3 linked regions of the Arabidopsis thaliana genome follow. The main gene of each other region encodes a partner of the protein of the gene in region 3 in a complex. Each region holds a gene or a part of one and is shown on either strand. Other genes may lie near its edges. The genes, in order: mtACP2, EMB1467 and AT3G12260. A codon is read from its position in the direction of its gene.

Region 1 (7,583 bases), on a different chromosome or scaffold from region 3:
TAGAAAGTAAGATTATGTCTAAGCATCTAAACAGCCAGAATCACCCACACTTTCCATTTTGGGTAAATAAGTCAATGGAATGTCAAAAATTGTTTTGGCCTAGCTATCTAGGTGTCCAATTATTCATTTTAATAAAAAATGATTAAAATGAAACATATAAGGAAATAATATATTTGATATAATTTTGTATATTTACATTAATTAAATATACAAAAATTATAGAGAAAAGAAAAACATATCCAATTAATTAGTTTTCTTGGCGGTAAATTATCTAGGAATGTCTAGTTAGCTTTAGCAAATTATGAATATTGGTATAAGATATCTATATCTAAGACTATACCATATTTTAAACTCTTGAATTATGTGAGACAACCTTAGATTTGTCACAATTTAGTAGTTGTTCTAATTAGCCGCTCCATTGAGATGGAGGAGTCTTACGAGTTCACATTAATTCGGATCAGTTTTACTAAACAAACTATTATCCACAAAAAGCTACGGAAAATTTCACAAATTAGGTCTCGTTATTCTAATCTTGACTAACATCTTATTCTTTTTCTGTCTTACAAAGATTTAAGTATTAACGTTAAATAAAAATGGTGATAAAGAATCTCATCGCCGGAGACTACATTGGGAAACATATCTCATACCTCATGATGCATCCCATCCATTTTGAGTCCAAAACCTAACTTCCGAATAAGAGGTTTATTTGGGAAACAATTTCAAGTTCTATCAAAATCTCAGTAGGTACACGTGTTAAGGCTTGTAATGTTTGGAAAATGTCATCTCCACCGTAACTCATCCACCGCAAATTCAAACTCCGCTGTAGACTCATGGCTTCATCTAGACACCTCTGCACACGGATTCCCCCTTTTGCAAATCTCTAGCAATAAATTGATTGATACTTACTCTTCTTCTCCACGTAATCCCATGAAGCAAGGGTATTACGCAGCAAATAATTATAACTTGTTTTAGAGTCATCATTTTCAAAAATGTGACTGTAGTTTAGTGGTTAGTCCCAAACATTTTACTATACAGTTTTGAATCTAATTTAGACGAAAATTTTGTAATTGTTTTAAAAAACAGTTTTTTGTTATTGGGCCAAAATCTTTTTGCTGTAGGCACTCAAATTTGGGCCCTGATTATGGCTTTGATGTGGTGAGGTGAGAAAAGTGTTTAACCAGTCCGGGGTTAGAGGTAAACCCAAAAGATCACCGCTCAAGATTGACCCGACGTGTAAGTGTATGGGTTACATTGAGTTAATCAGTGTTCTTAATCTACCTTTTTATTGTAAGAACAGAAAAACTATACCGTTCTCCGACATTTCAATCACCAATAGACTTGGTGTACTATAGACATTAGACAGCAATGTAGAGTTTAATAAACATGACCTGTGAATATAAATGCAAATTGTCCGATTTAATAAAAGCCAATCAATCACGGGGAAACTGGTATAGTCAACACTCTTAACCCACACACACATATTGACTAAATTTATCACCAAGACAACTTTATGATGTCCCATGTGTGAATAATAAATAACAATTAGTAATTAATTTACAGATCTTGCAGGTTACTTACGCTAACGCAATAGAGAGAGTTGGAACAAACATTTGACATAAAACATCTCTTACAATAATAACAGTGTCAGATAAATAAACATATTCAAAGATATTGTCTAGTCTCTGCACTTGAAGATGAATAATTGCTTTTTTACTCTTTTTCCTCTATTTTAAACTAAAACACTTAAAGATCTTATCAGATCAGAATAAGGCACTAAACTTGATCCATTTTCTTAACATGTCACTCATTACAAAGACTTAACTTTAACAGCTTCACTATCACCACCATCACCATCAATACCATCATCATCATCATATTAAATACTCTTCCAATTGCCAGCTTAACCAAACAATGACTCTTTTCCAAAATATGCTAAATTCTAACTTTTAACTTTCTTAAAACACATAAGAAACAAAATGATGAAGTAAACAAGAGAATGAAAAAAAAAAAAAAAGAGAGAGAGAAAGACAGATAGAGAGAATTGATTGAACAGAGAAGAAGAAACAAATCTTGCTTGAAGTGTGAACAAGATTCTCAAAACAAAAAAAACCCTAGAAAATTATGAAAAAATGGCAAATGCAAAAAGACAATTAATTAATGAGGATGATGATGTTGCTGAGATAGTAGGTAATGAAATTTAATGAAGACTGAAAAATAAATTATAGACAAAAAATAAGTAGAAGACTCAAACCAAGAACAGATATTCTTCTTTTTTTCCTCCCTTTCACACTTGAAGATGAATCAAGATTTAGATTCACTTGTTTCTCTCCCCTGGAATCAAAACATTCATAACCAAACATCAAAACATGAACTGAGCAGAAACTAAGAACAGAGAAGAATAAGAAACTTACAAATTACAATGAAGTAGAAGATCTCAGATATGGCAACCAAAGCAATTGCAAGTTTTGGGAGTGAAAGAACAGTAACCAAAGGGTCTATTAGGGATATTGCAGTTAATAGCATAGCAACAAGGAGAAGGCAAGCAAAGACCTTTAGCACCACCACAACAAGTACAAACTGAACATATCTGAAAACTTCCAAGTTTCCTTCTTGTTTCATTCATTACCATAAACTTCTCCTCCCCCAATGGCACCATCATCATCTCATTATCTCCTTCAGCTGGTAATACCTCATTTGCCTAAACAAAATTCCAATCAAAACCCATAAAGCTCAAAACTTTGAATTCAGGTTATGTTAAAGGTTTGATTTTTAACAAAATTAGAAATACCCAGATGTGAAAGAAGAGAACTTTAGAGGGATCTAAGTAAAGAAACTAACCTGGTGACTGGAACTGATGAAGATTGAGAAGAGAAGAAGCAACAAGAAGACAATAGAGATCTTCGATTCTTCTAAAGTTCTCATTTTTTTTTTTTTTGGTTTGAAATTTTATTTTCTTTGTTGGGTTTGGTTTATTATGTGGTTAGGGATTTTGGGTAAAGTAGCAAATGCTACTTCTCTCTCGAGCTACTTTTTTCAATTATTTTGGTTATAACATTTATGATTTTTGTAGAGAAATGTTTTTGTTTTTTTTATTGAGGGAAGAAATAATAAGTGGGGTCTTTAATTTTACTATTCTTTAATTTCTCCACTTCATTACCACACCAATATCGAATCAACTGATAGAGAAAACCATACCAATTGTAATAAAACAGATTCTTCTTCTTCTTTTCGAAGGATCTGATTCTTTTGGTGACAAATATAATTTCAATAACGTTGAGTGTTTTTTTCAATTAGCATTTAGAATAGTGAAGTGGAGAAGATACCAGGCAGCAAAATTTATAACCCATACATAAGAGCTTATTTGGTCAATGACAAGAATTTAAAAGTGTGTCGTACATGTAGTATATAGTCTTTGAGTTCATAGTTTCAGTAAATTTCTTTGAGTTCATATCTCTGGTACTGAAATCTGATAACAAATAAAATAAATGAGTCATCTCACAATATCTAAAGGAATAATCTAGAAAATGCGTTGCCAAAACGTGGTTTTGAAATTGTCCACAAATCTGAAATCTTTGTAAAGTAGTAATCTTCAATATCCAATATATACCGGAAGAAAAATTACGAGAATACTATTACCGTAATTAGTAAATCAAAAAGATTTTCATATATTCTATTAATAAACTTAATACAAAGAAGATCAAGGTATATATCTTTAGGTGCAAGACAAGCAAAAGTAAATCTACTTGCAACTCTCATTAATAATACTATGTAAAGTTGATGGTGTAAGAGATAAAAAAAACGTTTGCTTTGAAGAAGATAACAAGGAAATCTCAAAATTGCTTAATAGTACTAAATTAAAATTTGAAACCTTCAATTGGTTGGGAGCTAGATTCTGAAAGCACAAATTTGAAGAATGCCAAGTCAAACGGATTAAACGGGACTTGTGAAACTGATACTACTAGATAAAATTCTTGACAAAGCCCAAGCGTTAGAGGGCTCAGATAGGCCCACTTTACAAATGTAACGACGTCGTTTTGCGTATCTCAAAGTAAGGAAATCTCTCCTTCGAGAGCAAAGAGAAAGAGCTTGCTAGGTTTTTCTCTTACTCTGCAATACACAGCAATGGCGGCGAGAGGTGCTATGCTTCGATACCTGAGAGTCAACGTCAATCCAACAATTCAAAACCCTAGAGAATGTGTACTTCCTTTCTCCATTCTCCTTCGTCGTTTCTCCGAGGAAGTTAGAGGCTCTTTCCTTGACAAATCTGAGGTCACAGATCGAGTTCTCTCTGTCGTCAAAAACTTCCAAAAAGTTGATCCTTCTAAGGTAAATTCTTCTTCGATCCGACCCATTTCTTCATTTTCGATTGTATTACGATGAAATTGTGTGATCCGTGGTGATTTCTGGTGTTTACTTGTTATCTAGAAATGAAAGATGATTAAAAGCTTTGATTTGTAGCTGGATTTAGTATTCATTGAAGTCTATCACTCAGCAATTATTCGTTATTATTTACTAACCTTGAGTAGAGAGAACTTAGGATTCTGCATCGTTTTATTTTTCACTTGCAAGAACAAAGGAGAAAGTTTTATCGTCTTGAGAATTGTATATGTACATTTGAGTATCTACATTACAACAATTTGGAAACTTTTGTTCATACTTGTGTTGATGTCTTCTTTTGTGGCTTAAGGAGATTTGTCCATTTCTTATTTACGTCTAGTAGCAATGCATATTTTCCTCGAAGGGTTGGAAACTATTAGTGAGTCCTATGTATTATTGTTAAGCGATAATAAACATTCGCTCCTTGTTCTCTTATATTTCTGTGAATTCTTGTTTTCTCGATGCCATGTTCGGGTGTTTCTAGCTAATGAAAAGTGCATTTGACTGATGTGGTTCTACTGATAGCTTATCTTTGATTAGGTTGAGATTTTCAAGATCCCTTCAGCATCATGTAGAAAAGAAGTTATCATTCTTGTATCTTGAAAGCTTTTTGAGAAGTTTAGCCGAGTGATTATTTGTGCATTTACTGTAGGCTTTGTGTTTGAGTGTTCATGTAGTGCTTCTTAGCCCTCTTGATCAGCAACGAAACACTAAATAATAACTTGGAGACTTCATCTGACTATCTGAACTAATCAGTTGTTATCTATATTGGAAGTCTCAGGCTCCAATTTCATTGCTTTCTACTAGGCTTGAACTCTGTACTAATACATTTGTACTCTGGTGGCAGGTAACACCAAAAGCCAATTTCCAAAATGATCTAGGGTTGGACAGTTTGGACAGTGTGGAAGTTGTGATGGCATTGGAGGAGGAATTTGGGTTTGAGATCCCTGATAATGAAGCAGACAAGATCCAGTCCATCGATCTAGCCGTTGACTTTATTGCTTCTCATCCTCAGGCTAAGTGAAAAGAGAAACAAATTCTTCGGTGTTCATGCGTGCCTCAGCTGTGTCTACAGATTTTGTTAAAGCCTAATAAGAAGTAAAGAAGCAAACAACATTTTCTTTTTGTCATGAGAATGGATAAGCTTTTGTGTTGGCTCTACTACTCTGGTTTCATAAGTATTAGATGTGTTTCTGCATGAATTACGAGGCCTTTCAAAGAACTTTGTTTTCTCTTGATTTTATCTTATTAAACGCATCAGACACTCCTTGCATTATTAAACAATCCTTCAAGTGTCCCTGGCTCGTCTTTCATTTAAAAAAAAAAAATCCATTTGCTAATTTAGCGTTCAAATAAATGGAACATACATAGAGTTAATAACTATTCAACATATACTCATTTTATAATCTACCACAGAACATACATAAAGTGTCGAATCTTGTTTAACTTAGTATGCATGTGAAAAAAAAAGACTACAGTAGCAAAAGAAAAAACAAGATTTGGTAAGAAATACTCTTTTTGGGTATAAAGTTCCAAAAATATTTGGAATTGGATACATTTATCGTCAAAACAAGTTTCCTTCAACAAGCTCTAAAGGAAGCTTCTTTGGAAATTCCCAGAAGAAAACTTGGAAGCCAAACCTTCAGCCATACCATCGGCATCAAGTTTCACATTCTGTCTCCCGGCAGTAAGGTCGTTTTCACGGTCCCATGGCTTCCACGGATGTTTCCCTACCCACTCGTCCTTCTCGGTTTTCTCTTTGGATGAAGACAATTTCTTCTTCTTTTTCAGACGGCTTGAAGAAGAAGAAGAGTCTTCTCTGTGCTTCTCTACCAGAGACTTTGCTCTTTTCTCTTTGTTATACTTGTCTACAAGCTCAGCATCCATGCTTCTTTTCATATTTTCCCCTTCGTTTGATGCAAGCGCACTCGCCTTGTTGTATGCCTCCAAGTAACTGATAAGAACAGCGGAAAGAACAAATATAAGAACAACGCTATGAAACTTCAACCAAATGACCAAAACCTTGAATATCTACTCCGCCCTTCAACAATCTGCAGAGACAGCCCTATAAATCCAACCCTAACTAATGGCTATCTAACAACTCACAACAGCTACGATTGATGTATTCAGTCCTAGGCTAATTATAGTAGACCTAGAACTTAGGTTTGAGCAGCTGAACTTCTTCAAAAAGAACCAATGTGTTTTGCTTTCATGACCAAACAACATCGTGAAATGTAGTTAATTAGTGTGTTCTTACTTCATCTTTGCTCTTTCAGCTTTGTCCATAGGAGTATCAGTCCACGCTGTAGTGTCTCCGCGTCCTTCTCTAGCATTTCTACTAAACGTGGTTGATTGCTGCACGGCCACTCCAACCTGCGAAAGAAGAACCCCAAATAAGATTTAAAAGTTAAACACTATCCAATAATTCAAAAGCGTTTTCAATCAATTGTGGATCTCTCACCTTTCTTTCAGGAGGCAGAGTGGTCATCCACTCATCTCTTTTAGGTTCAGGTTTAACCTCGGTTGCTGCCAACAACTCTGCATCCCCTTCCATTGATATGCCTGCAAAACGGAAAAAAATCTTCATTAGATTTTCATCCCTAAGAGGCAAAGAGATTAAGGAGCCTGCATGCCACAATGATTCATCTTCACCTTGTGATCTTCTCCACTGTGCTGCTTCTTGCATTGAACGTAATTCAACCTGTAGGGAAATACACCATGTCTATGTAAGTAAAACCAACATATTTATCCTGAAAGATTACATAGATCAATCCGGCAGAATTACAAACCTTAAATGCCTCTTGTTCCTCCTTAAGTTTAATCTTGTCATCCATTGCTTTTCTCTGTAGACATTAATACATTAGAGATATAATAAAAAGGGCAATATATAAGAGATGGTATTAAGTGAATACACATAAAGAGATGATGGATGGCCACATGATTCAGTAAGTCTCTAAGAGCATATTGAAAAATAATCAGACAGTAGATGATTCTTATCTCACCTTTTCTGGATCTTGTAATTCTTTGAAAGCTTTATTCAGTAAAACAAAAGCTTCCTGGGCTTGGGGATGAGAACATTTGTCTGGGTGAACAAGAAGCGACAGCTTCCAGTACCTACAGACCAGAATTGTCTATATCATCAATTATGTAACTGATAACTTAAACTTGTGTAAAATGATTGAGCGCAGTTATTTAGTGACTAATAA
Region 2 (8,990 bases), on a different chromosome or scaffold from region 3:
CTCTAATTAAACATAAAATGTTGAAACAAACTTACAGTCCATCCAGCTTGAATAAAATCGTCTCCAATCTGAACGTGCATACGAGAAGAACTAAATTGCGGAGATCTAACTTCAGGATCATGTACAGAAATAGCCATCGATACTCCACTATAGCTTTTCTTTTCTCCTCTCTTGGTTCGAGCAACTGCAAACTAGTCATCATAACCATGCATAATCAACTCTTATTTTGAATTTAATAGAATTCTATATATTGAGCAAAATAACAAAATTATATATTTTGTATCTTTTTATAAAGATGACTGCACGGAGATTTAAAAAGTTATATTTACATTTTTGAAATTAATTTGTTTCTAACAACAATAATTTAGAATTTTAAAGGTAATTAATTAAAACACACTTATATTTCTTACATAACTAAAACTTATACCATAAGAAAAAAATAGTTAAAACATCTTATAAAACATAAGGAAGGGTACTACTTACATGATGTTCGACATTATATTGATTATAAGTGAAGTTCCAAGAACCTTGGGGCTTAGATTTGTTGGAATACGAATTTAATCTCAAAAGTTTGTCTTTGGTGACTCTTTGTATGGGTATGGTACCAATGGGACACCCTACACCATTTTCCCACAAGAAACCAAATTTTTTGTCATTTATTTTTCTTGTTCTTGAATTTTTACGGGATGATATCTGATGCATCTACATTTACAAAGAATTTTGTATTAGTGATAAATAATGATCAGATTCACTTATATTCAATTTATTATATACTTTGTAGTTGAGCAAGTGATTTTTCATGGTCTGATCGTCAAACGCTGGTTGTTTGTAAAAATCCACACATTCATATGTATCTCCATGTGTAGTCTATCATCCATAAACAAAAAGTAGATTATAAAATATTTTGTAAACTTCACATATCTCTACAAAATTCAGATATATATATATATATATATATATGTATAAATCAAGGTAACGAGTGCAGCTCTAAGAAAATAAGATGAAATTAAACGGACTTTGATGATTTTAGCTGCATGTTCGTCGATGACTTTAAGTTGTTCTTCCATTTCAAATGAGGTGAAATTTTGCAATGTTTCTGCATCCACAAAATGATTATTGAAACTCGATATATCGCTGAAACATAGGATATAACCTAACAAGAAGAACAACTTTCCTGGAAAACTTAATTTCATATTCTCTAAGAAATAAGGTTGGAGTGGCAATCAAAGAGTAAAGAGAGATTTATATAATAATATCAAAATAAATGAGATAAAGAGAAATATAAATAACATTAATATTTTCTAGATACACATGATTTCTTTTTCATAAAATTTGAACTATATAATTAACTCATTTTTTTATTAAGTGTTATGGTACATGATTATTGTTATTACATGTATTGTGTATCTGTATAAAAATGTGTAAATCTAGATTACTAACTTATGAACTTAACTTGGTATAATTATTTTATTATATAAACTTTGGTTTTCAAAATTAGTAACTCACATGATTGCGACACGGGTAACTTTCTCGATTAGATATCAACAACTGTTTTATTTTTTTGTTTTCTTTTACAGAAAATAAAAACTAATTAAAAGAATATTTACATATACTAATTATTCTTACCCAAAAAAAACTAACAAAATGTTTTTTACATGTGTTATTGGTCAACAAGATTTGGACATGTATCAAAAAAATCTTATCCATTTAGCATGGATTTTAACCAATAAACAATGTGTTGAAGTTCAAAAAAAAAAAAAAACAGGTTATTTAAAATTAATTAAATTAAATAATTTTTTTGCTTATATTATACTTTTAGATATAAGACCTAATCAGTAAGAAAGCAATTTGATAATAAAAAGTTGGTTGTTTGAGAAAGATAAAAAAAGTTGGATGGATTAATTATCCCAGCTATAAAAAAAAATTGATTGGTTTAGGTAAGTTTTTCTAAAATAAATTTATATGTTACTTGTGATTGTCTTTCATAATCTATCTGAAATTTTCTTTATGACCAATCACAAAGTTGAAACTGAAATGATTTTAGGTAACATAACTTGTCAAAAACAGTTTAGTTCACAAGTGATCATCTCACATTGGAAACCATCTAATCCTTTCAAGATTTGCATTATTTGTAACAATCACAATGGTTAAGAACAAACGATAAAAGTAGAGATTGTATATATCGCCATGCCTCCAAATTCATATATGCAAATGTAAAAGGGAGTCCTAATAAGAACAATACAAGATGCCACAAAGCATCCAATTAACACTGCAAAGTTTTGAATCTAACAATGTGCTTATTGCAAATTGCTTATAGATTTCACCGCAAGCTAAACCCGAGATACAGTGATACTCAGGCTTAAACAAAAGGTCTATAAAGAGGACAGCAAACGAAGAATCAGTATCTTTATTTTTGCGAAAAGAGAGAAAATGTGAAAACCCAAGTTAAAGCTCTCACTTTTTCAAGAGCACGGCACTGCACTGCGCCATGATCTTTGATGCTCTTGTGATCGAGTTTGTCATGTAAAAGTTCTCAACCACGGTTTGGAACGGTGTTGTGCTCATTGCCTCCTTGCACTCAGGCTTCAATGAAGGCCCAAAAGCAGCTGGCTCTCGCTCATCTGTGTGGACTAGATTTGGTGCAACGCTCTTTATTCTTGATCTAACACCTTCGATTGAGTTGTATGGAAGCTTCACACCCGAGACCTCGGATAAGGCTCTCACAATCTTCCAGTCATCTCTTGCATCACCAACTGTTGGAACAGCTGGAACAGTCTGTTGGGTAAATCCTTCAGTATTTTCATAGGTTCCTTCTTTCTCAGTGAAGGCCGATGCAGGGAGAATTACGTTTGCACGGTAAACCGCTTTGTCTCCATGGTGTCCTTGGTAAACCACAAAGGCGTCTTTAGGAATCTTGTCAACATTTACATCGTCTGCTCCCATCAAGTAGACGAATTTTGCAGACTCGAGGGCTTTGGCGGACTGTTGAATGAGACCAAGATCAAGAGCAGCCGCTTGGGCAGCATACTGAAGGAGAAAGTTGAGACCGTTCCAGTCTGGTCGGACAACATTGTTGGCTTGTGCAATGGACTCCACAGAAGAGAGGATAGCATTTTTATCAGTTCTGTTGAAGAGCCCAGCACCAACAATGATTGCAGGGTTTTTGGCGTTCTTGAGAGCCGTACAGAATGGATGCCGTCCCTCAGCAATTTCCTTGAGAGTATCAGGCCCAGTCCCGAGGTGTTTGCAGTCGTAATTGAACTCTGCAGGTGGACCAACATATCCAACCTTGGCATTTGATGCACGGACTGTCTTGCAGATCCTAGCATTCACCATTGCAGCTTCCACCCTAGGCTGGTAAAAATAGACAAAAACTGGTGAATGTACTGCTAAAAAACCTTCACAACTTTGATATCTGGAAGAGCAAGTTTTGCTTGATCTAGATTGGTCTGGATCAGGAATATTCAATACAAGCGAAATGTTAACATCTGATCTGTTTTTTAGAAACTTAATTTTGCTTGTTTCTCCTTTCTATTTGCCTCTGTATTCCAAATTATGCACAGAACCTTAAGCCACACCACTAAATCAAAGTATCAAACTACACAATTTGGTTTTTCTTATGTCATTGTTCCAAATACAGAGCGGTCTGTCTAATCCGGTACCAGAAACCATACAAAAAAGACAGGGTGGAAATCTCACCTGGGTACCGATGAGAAGGAAGAGATCGGCGTTTTCAAGTCCACTGATGCTAGTGTTCATCAGATAACTGTATCTAAGATCAGCATCAACACCAGCAGCTGTTCCTTCACACCATACATTGTCTGAGCCCATTCTGTTAACGAAGTCCTTCAGTACCATCATGGATTCCGCATCAGATAGCTGACCTGCTACTCCAACAATCTCATCTGGCTTCACCTGATGAATGATATCACCCACAACAGCCAAGGCATCACGCCAGCTCACTGCCTTGAATCGTCCATCGGAATCTCGGATCATAGGGTCGCTCAGCCTTTGTCTTTTCAGGCCGTCATAACAGAATCGGGTTTTGTCAGATATCCATTCTTCGTTTATATCCTGAATAAGAACATTCACAAGTTCAACATCCAGCAAAATACTTTTAAAAATAGTGTTTTTGAACAAAAGCATTACATACCTCATTCAGGCGTGGAATGATACGCATTACTTCTGGTCCTCTACTATCAACACGGATGTTGGACCCAACAGCATCACTAACATCAATAGTTTCTGTTGCTTTCAACTCCCAGTTTCTGGCTTTAAAGGCAAAAGGCTTTGAGGTCAAGGCTCCAACAGGACAGATATCAATAACATTTCCAGAGAGTTCACTGGTCATAAGCTTTTCAACATAAGTTCCAATTTCCTCTCCACTACCACGACCTAGTATACCAAGATCCTGAACCCCAGCAACTTCAGAAGCAAATCGTACACACCTACAAAAACATTATACATACAAAACCTAATCAACAGGATAGCGTATCTATCACATTAACTAAAACATCACACTATAAGCAAACTATATTAGTAACCTTGTACACTGGATACACCGAGTCATAACAGTCTTCACAAGAGGACCAAGATTCTTATCAACAACAGATCTTTTCATCTCAGTAAAACGTCCTCTATCAGATCCAAAAGCCATAGACTGATCCTGAAGATCACACTCTCCTCCTTGGTCACAAATAGGACAATCCAAAGGGTGATTCATCAACAAAAACTCCATCACTCCCTCCCTCGCCTTCTTAGCTATCGGTGTATCAGTCTTAATCTTCATCCCTGTTACAAAAACTCTTAGCAATAGCACCAAATCCAAATATATTCCACCAATCAACGATCAAAATCAATCCATCAGCATAGAAATTTTCCTGGAATCGAACTAACCAGGAAGCGCAGGCATGGCACATGAAGCTACAGGCTTAGGAGATTTCTCAACCTCAACAAGACACATCCTGCAATTTCCAGCAATAGATAAACGAGAATGATAACAAAACCTCGGGATATCAACTCCAGCGACCTCACAAGCCTGAAGAACAGTGAATCCTTTAGGGACTTTGACCGCGTAACCATCGACAAAGACCTCGATCGCATCTTCAGGATTCGAGAAGTGGACGCGTGCTCCACCTACAGGGTTTCTAGGAGGGAGAATCTGTGTCGGCGGCTCAGGCTCAGAGACAGCAGCGGATTCAGGAGATTGGAGCTCTGGTTTTGAGACGATTGTGCGGAGGAAGAAATTGGAGGTTTGAGATTGAAGAAGACGTGAAGCTGGTCGAATTGTTCGAGAAGCTAAGATGCCTAAACCCATGGCGTTGTGGATCTGTATCGTCTTCTTCTTCTTCTTCGTCTTCTATGTGTGTATTTCTCGATCTTGTTGTGAGAACTCCTGAAGCATTTGTGCGAGAGAGAAGGAGACACGAATGAGTGAGTTTTGGGCTTTATGGGCTTTTATTTTGGATATTATAATTGGCTTATGAATGAGTGAGTTTTGGGCTTTGTGGGCTTTTTCTTTTCAAACTGAATTAAGTTAATTTTGGGAGATATAGTTTAAGAGTTTTGATGATCTTTCTCTAATTCACTTAATGACATTGAGTTTAAAACAATCTTGCTTCTAGTTCCATACAACATATTAGAACCTCTAGCAAAATAAACCTCTAATCAATCATTAGTCCTAGAGACTTTTAGGTCAATGTACTAATTGAACATTTGTATATTTCAGATAAAGACAACTTAAAATATGGTTATAAATGATGACAATTTTAAACATCTCAACGTCGTCTATTTAAATAAAAGGAAAGAAAATATTGTCAACACCTATGCTGCATCGGTTAAGGTTTACGTGTAAGAGTTAGTTTATTTTCCTCGTTTGTTTAGGTTTACGTGTAAGCATCATTATCAGTGATATTGTTATTAATCTAACCTTTGCAATGACAACCAAAAAAAAAAAAAAATGAAGTTTCATAAGCTTTGATATATATTATCTTATCATTACAGGCAGACATGATAAGTATAATTTAACTCGTTTAATTTGATAGTTTTAGTTATAAATTTACATAGTAATTCGTTATAATTTTAATTATGGGTTTGAATGGTTACGGCGGTTCGGGCGGACAAAACCATCAACGGATCAGACTGTTTTTTATTTACCATTAATCAATTATAGTGCACAGTGGTCCGGACAAAAAAAAAAGAAGAAAACCGCAACAGATCATCTGTGAATCATCCACGAACTATTTTTACATATAAATAAACTTGGTCCACAGCGGTTTATTGTCCGCCTCAAAATAAGGTAGATTAAACCGCATACAAAGTATACCGCTTTGTCCACTGCATCCATTCAAAACTTATAAAGTTATAAGTTATAGCTAATAAATATGACACTTTTTCAAATTGTTATAGATCACTTTAAGAGTGATTACATTCCTCTCTTGTTTTTTTTTGTCAAACAGAGTGATTACATTCCTTTCTTTTTTTTTGTCAAACAGGGTGATTACATTCCTTCTTTTTTTTTTTTTGTCAAAACAGAGTGATTACATTCCAAGGCAAAGAAACATAAGGGAGAACCACTAACTACAATAAAAATTGTTGGGTTAATGGCAAAAGAAAAAAAAGAATTAGTGGTTCTTCTATGAAAAAGAATTGCATCCAATGGAAAGAGGATGTGACCGAGTTGATAAGATATGAAACACAACATATATAGCTTTTTGTTATCAAACTATTTATCGTCTCGTATTTGTTCTAATCTAAACCGAAATACTAATATTTTAAGGAAATACTTTGCGAAAAATAAATAAAAATTCTCACCTTTATTCAATCAAAGCCAAAAATGAAAAAAAAAAATAGAAGCAAGACAATCATATTCATACAACTCGATAAGGTAGTACCTCTAAAGTGCAAAACGAAAACAAGAAATATCTCTGCTATCTCATTCTCGTCAACTAGGAAACTCTGCATAATCTCTCTTTTACACAATGCAAAGAATAAGGTGAAGATGAACTGATTATCTCTAGCGTACTATGAAAGTCAATATTTAGATGCAAATTAGGTGATTTTTATTGTCGATATTCTTCTTTTTCTGGACACGTCCTCATATTCGTGTATATTTAATTTCTTCTCTTGGTTTTATACAAAGCCGACCATTTGGAAAATTTAAAACTAAAAATCTCAAAACCTGATGTAAATTTTGATTTTACTTTAAACAGAAATCCTACGTTAAACATATAGGAAATGCTGTTACACACCCATTAATGTCTATAACTAGTACATCAATTTACAACAGATTTATTGTCTTAAAAAAAAATAACTCCCCCACTTACCCCGTGAATGTTCAAGTACACTAGTCCAGATTAACTTAAATTCGATTATGCTAGAAATGATTCACAAAAACCGGTTTAGGGAATCATCATCCAGATTTGGAGCATCGTAATCTTTTGGTAAATTTTTATTAGCCGTTCGTACAATTCAATTCCAAATTTTAATTTAGATGAGATTTTTTATATTAAAAAAACAATGATATATGTTCGACAATCGACATGTTCTGATGTCCTATATAAATTCGGTCCTTCTAGACAAAACCTTACGTTATACACTTCAACTAATAAAGAGTCCAAACCAAACAAAAAAAAAACAGTAGTTTCTCGACAGAAACAAAATCAATATAGCTTTAACATCACGAGAAAGAAGAACTAAAGAAGACCAAACAAAAAATAATTTGGAAAAAAACAGAGAAGCAGCTCTCGTGATCTTCCCGCCTTTTCTCTTCAACTTGTAAAACATTACAAGATCTATCTTCTACCAAAAAGACGAAGTTTCGAGTGTCAGATTCAAGAGTTGAATCGGGTATTAAACTCTGTTTTTCTAGATCTTTGTGTCGAAGAGATCGCCGGAGATTTCATTTAACCGATTCTTGAAAACATGGGACGTCTCCGGAGACGGCAAGAGATAATAGATCATGAAGAAGAGGAATCAAACGACGACGTTTCATCAAGAAGAGGAAAACTCAGTTTAGCCGAGACGTTTCGGTGGCTTGATTCATCAGAGCATCGGAGAATTGAAACCGATGGTCATAATGATTATAAATACATCATTCATCCCAAAAACAGGTTCTTTCTTTTTTCTCTTTCTTCATCATGCACTTGAAGAGTTTCCTTTCTATCGGGAGATAAATACGTAGAAAATACTTTTCTTGAAACCTTCAAAATATCTTCTGTTTTTTTTTCTGTAACTTCAGAAAAAAACTTTATTCACCATACCACTTCAAAAACTTGTCTCCCTAGTTTTAACTTCGAATAATACAATAATAGAAAATTCACCATTTTAATAATTATCAATCACTAAAACTCTTATCGTTATTTCTTTCTGCTCATTTTTAAGGCTGTGTCACCAATCTAATCTAATATTAGTATCACTTCAATCTAGTTTAAATATTAATATTTATGTCAAGGATTTTTTAAAACAACTAAATGATTTAAGGTTCGAAAAATTACGATAATTAGAATGGACAAATCCGTTTACAGTTTGGATTGCTTTTTATTTACCGTTCATAAAGTATAATTTATAGTAATACAAAATAATAAAAATAGAATCCGTCTACAATGGACTAACGATATATCTTTTTTACGTAAAAGTGAATTTGGTCTACAGAATTTATTGTTCGCTCTAAAAATAAAATGGTCTAATCGCTTAATTCGTATCATCCATTAATAGCCTTAGGATTTAGATGAATAATCTTCATCACTTATCAAAAGTAGATATTAGATGCTAATCAGGTGATTTTGTTGTCGATATTCTTTTCATTATTATTTACTAAGAAAAAAGAAATTGGTGGGACACTTCCTTGTGATATATTTCTTCTCTTTCGTTGTCCACTGATCACCTCAATCTAAGCATTTGTTTTATTTGCAGCCGACCTATTGAAAATTTAAAACTTAAATCTAAAACCAAATTCCGACCAAAACAAGGAAAAACTTTAAATCTATCTT
Region 3 (7,385 bases):
AGCAGGGATGGTCAGCGATTCCATGGTAGCAAATAGCCTTAACCTCCAAAACCAAAATCAAAACCAAAATGGAAGCGATGCATCGTCCTCAGGTGGTGCCGCACCCCTTAAAACCGAGCCAACAGATTCATAGATATCTCTCTCTACTTGCTACACCAACTTCTCTTCAGTTATAGCATCTGTAAATCCTTATGTTGCAGAGTTTGCTTTTATGTTTAGCTTTCTAGTTTATAGTGATCACCTCAGGCTATGAGCGGATGGATCCCTTTATTGTTTCTTTTTTCTTTTTTTATCTTAGTTAAGTCAGTCTTAATAAGCATTAATAAATGTCTTTTTCTTGTTCACTCTTTCTAACTGTGTTCGGTGTCCCATCTACTAAATTTATTTTCCACTTTAAAAAAAAACAATTTGTGACATTTACTTAACTTGGAACATATACAGTACAGTTAAGCAATTAACTATAACCAACAAATTGTCTGAACAATTGTCTGTCTTACCTTTTTAGCTCTCTATAAATTTACGCCGCAAAACAACACTTTATGTCGATTTCAGAATAACTTACTACTCCAGCATATTTCTCAAAACTTTCTCAATAGGTTAAATTTAAAACAACCTTGCAACTTATGAAAAAATCCTCAGCAAATTTGCCAGAAAAGAGTGTTACAATGGCTACAATCACATTCATAGATTAAATATCTGAACCGGCCAGTGACGCTTCTGACCCTTTGAGCTCAGCCCAGTAGCCTCTAACGAGATGTCTATGCTGCGATGCTCATGTGCTCGTGCAACACTCACACGCAGATGAATGCTTGAGGCGGGACACTCTTCGGTTCCGATGGCTTCTCTTCTGTCATTACCAGACAGAACCGAGGCCGGTGCCACTGAGATTGGTTCTTGAAAAGTTAAGATTGTCTGAGCCCAGTGTGTTGGGGGAGTGTAGGGTGATGTGGATAGTACGGTTGGGTTTTCCTTACAGAACCTACTGGTGAAACCTGTGTCAAACCACAACACAACACCATGGCACAACCTAGTTTTTGCTTCTGACTCAGTGGGCTCCAGCGTTGCCGTTGCTGTGAAATCTACTTCATCCGGTTTCATGGTAGCCAGGTCAAATGTCTAGAAACAAAGAAATTCAAGGAAATTAATTTCAAAGTTTTTCCTGGCGAAACCAAATAATGTGTGATCTTTCAAACCTGAAGAAGGGTAGGCTGTGTCACTAAATCACGCTCCGCTATAACGTCAACAATGGGAAGTCGAGTAGTGTCGTCATGTATCTCCTTCCCAATTGAAGACATGTCAAAGCCATAGACATCTTCCCAGAAAGGAAGACTTGTTGCACCTTTTCCAAATCCCGCAACAAACTGATCCAAGGAGAAAACAAGGGATAAAACTCATCAAGATGATTTCATGAAAAAGACAACATTTGAAGGGCAAAAGATAAGCTTTACCATAGTGGCCGTGTCAGGGAGGATTGCACCTCCAGGTTTCAACCACCGATCTCTTGCATAGAGCACAGAACTGAGCATTGACTCATATAAAAGGCAGTATCCCATCCATTCGCTGACTAACACATCAACACTATGAGGCTGAATCTGTATCGATTTATCTAGCTCTTCTACCATTGAGTGTGCAACTTCAAGTACCCCATTATGCTCGTTATCATTGAATACTTTGTTATCCTTCGCAATCTGCTAGAAACCAGGTAAATAATTGATATCTATGAGGAAAAAAGAAATAATGAAAATCTTGTAACAAGTAGAAAAAAAGGTAACCTTAGTTGCAACTTTGGCCATCTTCTCACTAGCTTCAACTGCAACTACCCTTGAAGCCCCAGCTTTAGCAGCAAAAAGACTGCAGACAAAGGATAAATGGTTATTGCATGCAAACTAAAAATAAGAAGTACCAAAAGTTTGACTTAAACAATCAAAGGATCTGCATATAGGCAAGAGAAATTCAAGGAAGCCTTCAGAATATGAAATAAAAGAAGCAAATAGAACCACATGTTTAAAGCTTCGTTTAGAGAATGAGAAGAAACCTAAATGAGATGGCCAATATAGAGTGAGAAAGATAACTGCAAACTCACCTCAATATCCCAGTTCCACAACCAACATCCATTACAACAGAGCCATTCAAGAGAGTAGGATTCTTCAAAAGTGCATCTCGGTATGCTTCTGTTCTAACCTGTTACAGACATCAGACACATTGAATAAACCTGACAGCTGATAGTCTTTCTTCATATGGTGCAAGTGCAGGTTAGTTAATTATGACACAATTCCAGAAAAGATTAGTGCATTACCTTATCACTTAGCATCTCCCTGTGAATGCCAAACGAACTATAAGATCCAAAATAGTTCTCATTCACCTTTCTGATGTTCCTATTAACTAGCCTTCCATCACAAACCTTTGGTTCTGCATCTTTCCCATTGACTATCAAATCATCCGCAGAACTTTGCTTTAGGCCATTGCAGTTTGAGAGCGAAGTTACATCCTTACTTCCATTTATATTGCATTTATCACTGTTCGACATTGAGCTTTCCCCTAAAGCCTCGACATCAATGCTTAAATCCCCAAGCTTCTGCAATTCCTCCATCACTTCCTCTCTGTCAAACGTGACTTCTTCATCTTCCTCATCATCTGCAAACGAGTACAAAAGTGAATCCTCCTGCCAAAAAGGCTTCAGATACTTCTCTTCATCCCAAGGAAACTTAACATCTTTGTAATCATCAGCTTCAATCTTCCAACTGAAACACATGTTCTCAGCCACCTAATTCATTAAAGGAACCAAATTTAAACAAAAACAATAAAATTAGAGAAACCAAAAACGAAGGAAGCAAAAACACAAACCTGTGAGCGAATATAGTTGATGAGCTTAAAAGAAGAGTAGAAATCGAGCTTCAATTCCTTTCTAACTCCATGAAAGTCGAATCCGTGGCTTAGACGACAGTGTTCGAAGAGTAAATCACAGGAAACGAAGTGAGAATCACAAAACAAACACAGAAAATCAGATTCCGAGTCGTCACCATCATCCTCCTCCTCCTCCTCTCCTCCTTCTATACCATTATCATCAGCTTTCCAGTCTCCCCAATCTCCTTCGTCTGAGTAATTTTCTTCTTCATCCTCGCTGTAGTTGAGAATCTCGTGCTTCACCATTGTCGCCGCCATGAGAAAGATAACGGCGCCAAGTTCTTAAGAGAGAGGTTTAAGAAAGCGGAGACACCCCGGCGGGATAGAAAAACAATTACCTTCTTACCCTTTTTTGTAAACCGAAACTAACCGGAAATAATTACGGCTATTCTCTACATCAGCTTAGGCCCATAAAAAGCCCATTAGCCACTCACTTCGAAACGACGTCGTCAGATAACTCTGGAAGCAATCAGATAGTCAGATGTTTGTTTCTCTATTCGGCTACTCATTTCTCTTTTAATCTCAGGCAGGAAGGTGAAATTTTTCGATTTCGTAGATCAAAATGGCGGCACCATTCGCGTTGAGGAAAATCGGTGTTCCTCCGAACTCGGCGAACCTGACGGAAGCTCGCCGCCGTGTTTTCGATTTCTTTAGAGCTGCCTGTAGATCTATCCCCACCATCATGGACATTTACAATCTTCAAGATGTCGTCGCTCCTTCTCAGCTCCGCTATGCTATCTCTGCTCAGATTCGGAATAACGCTCACATCACCGATCCTAAGGTACTTTCCCTTAATTTAACTCTGATTAATACGGACCCAGGTCCTATGCGATGGCGAAATTGAAAGCATTTTCCTTGTTTGGCTAATGCGTCTTGGTTGGCTACCAAACAATGAGCTGTTTTATATTTGTTAATCTGATCGTATCTGCTTTCTATTCCACTTTTGGCTTGGATTTATTGTCAGCTTTGTTTGAGTGTTGTTGAAAGCTGAAAGCTTACACCTTCTATCGTGTAGAATTTGTGCAAGTAGTTTATGTGAGCGGAGACTTTTAATTTCTTGGTAGTCTTATCTTATGAACAAAAAAGTGTCTTGTGAATTGGGTGCTTGGTGAAGATTTACTTGGAGCGAAAAGGTGGGAGCTTTACCGGTTACATCCTGCTAAAGCTGTGTTCCTTTCTTCTTTGCATTTGTTTTCTTTCATAGATGAGTCTGTTGTCGTCGATACAGTAAACCTGCTACAAAATTATATACTTCATATCAAAATGGTGTTCTTTCTCGTAGTATGACAGCATTGTTGGCATTTGGTACCAAAGTTAAGATTTGCTTATGTGGTGAATGGTTAGTTGTTTGTATTTTGAACCATCAATTCAAAGCATCTCCTTGAGTGTGGGTGTAGTGATCTCGGATTGGTTCTCTTTTAAGGTGATTTTAGAATGCAATCTGATGGTGGTCTTGCTTCTGCAGGTAATTGATCTTCTTATATTCAAAGGAATGGAAGAGCTGACTGACATTGTGGATCACGCAAAGCAGCGTCACCACATCATCGGTCAATATGTGGTGGGTGAAGGGCTCGTGCAGAATACTGGAAACAAGGATCAAGGAAAGACTGATTTTCTCAAGAATTTCTACACCAGCAACTACTTTTGAACTGGTGATGTTTACTTTTCGAGTTTCACATAAGCTGTACTGTTTATGCTGCTTCAGTTCTTGCTCAAGTTTGCATATGTCTTGCCAGTATTGTATTCTCGACATTTGGAAGAAGTCTTCTTCCTGGAAATAATTAGATCTTTTCATTTGTATGAGTATTTTCTCTGACTCAGGTTGGTTATACATAGTATTAGCCAAACCTCTGTAAGCTTTATGTGTGACAGTGTTTACTGGGCAATCTTGCTATGATTTCAAGATACACAATCTGCTCTCTTTTTTGAACTCTCAATATAAATTGATTTGGTCTGCTGGAGTTTATGATCATACAATCCAAGTTCCTGAAAGGATCCCATCTTCTGTCATGTTGGTAATTGCGACCTTACACTGATCACCTATCCGCTTTGAATATTCAAAGACCTATAAACATTCACTCTATAAAACTATGCAACCTGATGGCTAAAAATTACAACACACACAACACTCGAGTCTTGCGGACCTCAGGAAACCAATTTCAAAACCTGCAGTCTTCTTTCCCAAAATATTGCTTTTGGTAAGAATCTGAGAATGCCTTGCTTTGTGATCGATCTCTTGGAAGGAGTATCCCTGCCGATCTGAGTCATAAGATTATGTATAGGGCTGACTGCTGAGTAGAGCACTATTCTTCTGTTTCACTCTCTTGGCCGGGCAAGCCACAAGGAACTAAGAGCACGTAATCGAGATGAATAATCGTGTATAGCAAGAAGAGCACGAGCTGACTGACGTGTTGTTAATACTCGAAGCATCTGTTGTAGTGTTTGCAGCCTCAAGTTATCAGCCTGCCACCAAGAAATGCCCTATGAACTCCATAACAGACGGATTCATATATAAAATAAAATATTTATCTCTTTGTGACGATGAAAAGATATGGTATATCTCGATAACATCCACATTTCTAAAGTACCTGGCGTATGAATCCTTCGAGGGTGCCTAACTGCCCCATTGCCATGGCCATCTGACCCATGTAGCTCGCGACATTATCCGATGAACTGGAACCAAGAGTTCCACTGGATAAAGTATCAGCTAGGGATTGCTGTAAACTCTCCATCCCTTGAGATAAAGCATCTTCTGCCTGCTGCGACGTCTGCTGCAAGCTATTGATGCCCATTACCTGTCGTTCTGTCATGGGCTCTAGCTGATTCGCAAGAAGCTGTTGTGAAAACACTGCGACTCATTAAGTTGGCTGTTCATCAAAATCTCTCTATGGACTTGGAAAGAGCTTACCTTGAGAAGTTCGGATGAGCGGAACCCGCCAAGCCACAAGAAACATCGCTCAGCTGGTGTTTTCCACATTCCAGATAACAAGTGGAAGACATCATTCTTAGCTGCATTGCTCTTAATCCTGAAAAGCTCCTCATAGTGAGCCATCACTCCATCCACAATTATCCGGAGCTCAGTATCACCTGCATGAGCATTCAGGGCAGATCTCAGCTCGTTCATTTGCCTGTTCTTTTCTTCAAGCCATCGTGAGTGTTCTGCATCAAATGCCAAAGCCCCTGCAGAAAGGCAAGTATACTAGATCAAGAACAAACCCTTGCAGACCTAAGCTAACACCAGCGCAAACTATAAGAAACTTCAGTTTTGACATCACCATGACTTTAATTTCCCATCCAGATCATCACTGACTCTTGAAACCATTAACTCTAACAAGTGTAAGCATATTGCCATGAGATGACTTATGCTATCACCAATTCATCAACATATATGTATATATGCACTTATCTCACATAGAAATTTCAAATCAAAAGGATCAATCTCAAAACTAACAGAGAAGAAACAACCCACCATTGCCACCAGTAGAATGAGCTTGGTCTCCTGAACTTGAGATGAAAACTCCCTAAAATTGAAAAATATATATCCTTAAGTGACAAATACACTGTCATGAGTCATGACAAAGAATCTGATAAGAACCAGAATAGAAATTCTCTGTATGCCATCAACATCCGAATAAACAGACCAGAAGGACCTATTTCGAGAGAGTTACCAGCTACTTTTACCCAACTAAACTATGGATGACCCATAATTCTGTTACCTCCTCTACTTCAGCTAACCCAAGACTAGTACTAACTCGTAACTGACTGTTAGTTATAAGTTGAAGTAGCTTCAGCCTTTTATCTTCTTTATAAAGACATACATATCAGAATCAAAACAAATAAGAAAGTTAATAAACCTGCTGTCTTGCTCTTTGCAGCTCCTGCTCAAGTTGAGTCAGCTTTAATCGACTATTCTCCAGCTGCTGAACATACGCCTATGGAGGAAACAATAACATGCTTAAGGTAATGACAGATAGATATTCTTCTAGAGATATTACAAGGAAATAAGAGGAATATATAAGAAAAATCAAAACAAGAACAAAAGCAAAATATACATACCTTCTTCCTCAATCTGCTTTTTCTTGCTGCCTCACGATTTTGAGCAAGCCTACGAAGGGTCTATGGATCAAAACGAAAAGGAAACAAAACAGATTATGCATATGCGTAATATACACAGATGCTAGTTGATCCACAGAGATGAATCTATCACCTTTTGATCCAACTTATCCTTTGATCGATCACTGGAATCAGAGGCAGCAGCATGCATATGCCCTCTATCAGACTGCATGTAATCAACATCAGGAATTACTGTTTCATTCAAACTATGCATGTTTGATGAACATAAGCAAATGACTAGTCCTGTGGATTTGGCTATACCGGTAGAATGCCCCAAGTTTTACCAAGGGATTCCGGTACAAGCCTCCCAGGAGTGACATTGTAGAGATAATAAAACTATAAAATGATTAGAGCCAGATTACGAGCTA

The links.
Region 1: the proteins of AT3G12260 (region 3) and mtACP2 are in contact, whole or in part, in a cryo-EM structure (PDB 8BEE), measured with the Arabidopsis thaliana proteins. Residues at the interface, in NP_566416.1 of Arabidopsis thaliana: Phe27 (codon at 3,545), Asp28 (codon at 3,548), Phe30 (codon at 3,554), Arg31 (codon at 3,557), Cys34 (codon at 3,566), Arg35 (codon at 3,569), Arg56 (codon at 3,632), Tyr57 (codon at 3,635), Ser60 (codon at 3,644), Ile63 (codon at 3,653), Arg64 (codon at 3,656); in NP_176708.1 of Arabidopsis thaliana: Phe61 (codon at 4,303), Gln62 (codon at 4,306), Asp82 (codon at 5,264), Ser83 (codon at 5,267), Leu84 (codon at 5,270), Asp85 (codon at 5,273), Val87 (codon at 5,279), Glu88 (codon at 5,282), Met91 (codon at 5,291), Ala92 (codon at 5,294), Glu94 (codon at 5,300), Glu95 (codon at 5,303), Glu100 (codon at 5,318), Ile101 (codon at 5,321), Asp103 (codon at 5,327).
Region 2: the proteins of AT3G12260 (region 3) and EMB1467 are in contact, whole or in part, in a cryo-EM structure (PDB 8BED), measured with the Arabidopsis thaliana proteins. Residues at the interface, in NP_566416.1 of Arabidopsis thaliana: Lys120 (codon at 4,508), Thr121 (codon at 4,511), Phe123 (codon at 4,517), Leu124 (codon at 4,520), Phe127 (codon at 4,529), Tyr128 (codon at 4,532), Thr129 (codon at 4,535), Ser130 (codon at 4,538), Asn131 (codon at 4,541), Tyr132 (codon at 4,544), Phe133 (codon at 4,547); in NP_568550.1 of Arabidopsis thaliana: Trp361 (codon at 3,957), Arg362 (codon at 3,954), Leu365 (codon at 3,945), Ser621 (codon at 2,832), Pro645 (codon at 2,760), Thr646 (codon at 2,757), Ala650 (codon at 2,745), Arg651 (codon at 2,742), Asp652 (codon at 2,739), Trp654 (codon at 2,733), Lys655 (codon at 2,730), Ile656 (codon at 2,727), Arg658 (codon at 2,721), Ala659 (codon at 2,718), Glu662 (codon at 2,709), Val663 (codon at 2,706), Asn671 (codon at 2,682).

What each region holds. Positions count from the first base shown.
Region 1 is NC_003070.9:24,246,906-24,254,488, reverse strand, and holds mtACP2 (mitochondrial acyl carrier protein 2), read left to right. Parts: upstream 1-4,052; 5' UTR 4,053-4,122; coding exon 4,123-4,326; intron 4,327-5,224; coding exon 5,225-5,401; 3' UTR 5,402-5,762; downstream 5,763-7,583. Other genes in the region: AT1G65295 (ubiquitin carboxyl-terminal hydrolase), read right to left, coding at 2,435-2,698, 2,839-2,922; AT1G65280 (DNAJ heat shock N-terminal domain-containing protein), read right to left, coding at 5,968-6,331, 6,635-6,750, 6,839-6,939, 7,030-7,078, 7,167-7,220, 7,380-7,491. UniProt on the Arabidopsis thaliana protein: Carrier of the growing fatty acid chain in fatty acid biosynthesis. May be involved in the synthesis of short and medium chain fatty acids.
Region 2 is NC_003076.8:14,893,817-14,902,806, reverse strand, and holds EMB1467 (NADH-ubiquinone dehydrogenase), read right to left. Parts: upstream 5,398-8,990; 5' UTR 5,318-5,397; coding exon 4,897-5,317; intron 4,792-4,896; coding exon 4,545-4,791; intron 4,449-4,544; coding exon 4,154-4,448; intron 4,075-4,153; coding exon 3,700-4,074; intron 3,355-3,699; coding exon 2,459-3,354; coding exon of another isoform or gene 2,455-2,458; exon of another isoform or gene 2,373-2,454; coding exon 2,360-2,372; 3' UTR 2,160-2,359; downstream 1-2,159. Other genes in the region: AT5G37520 (NEP-interacting protein, putative (DUF239)), read right to left, coding at 36-137; GORK (gated outwardly-rectifying K+ channel), read left to right, coding at 7,924-8,111.
Region 3 is NC_003074.8:3,906,419-3,913,803, reverse strand, and holds AT3G12260 (LYR family of Fe/S cluster biogenesis protein), read left to right. Parts: upstream 1-3,328; 5' UTR 3,329-3,466; coding exon 3,467-3,685; exon of another isoform or gene 3,686-4,369; coding exon 4,370-4,552; 3' UTR 4,553-4,864; downstream 4,865-7,385. Other genes in the region: RBR1 (retinoblastoma-related 1), read left to right, coding at 1-133; PRMT3 (protein arginine methyltransferase 3), read right to left, coding at 682-1,116, 1,194-1,361, 1,449-1,688, 1,773-1,851, 2,084-2,181, 2,297-2,764, 2,845-3,162; TGA6 (TGACG motif-binding factor 6), read right to left, coding at 5,221-5,367, 5,493-5,738, 5,813-6,084, 6,374-6,425, 6,759-6,836, 6,961-7,020, 7,112-7,183, 7,279-7,353. UniProt on the Arabidopsis thaliana protein: Accessory subunit of the mitochondrial membrane respiratory chain NADH dehydrogenase (Complex I), that is believed to be not involved in catalysis. Complex I functions in the transfer of electrons from NADH to the respiratory chain.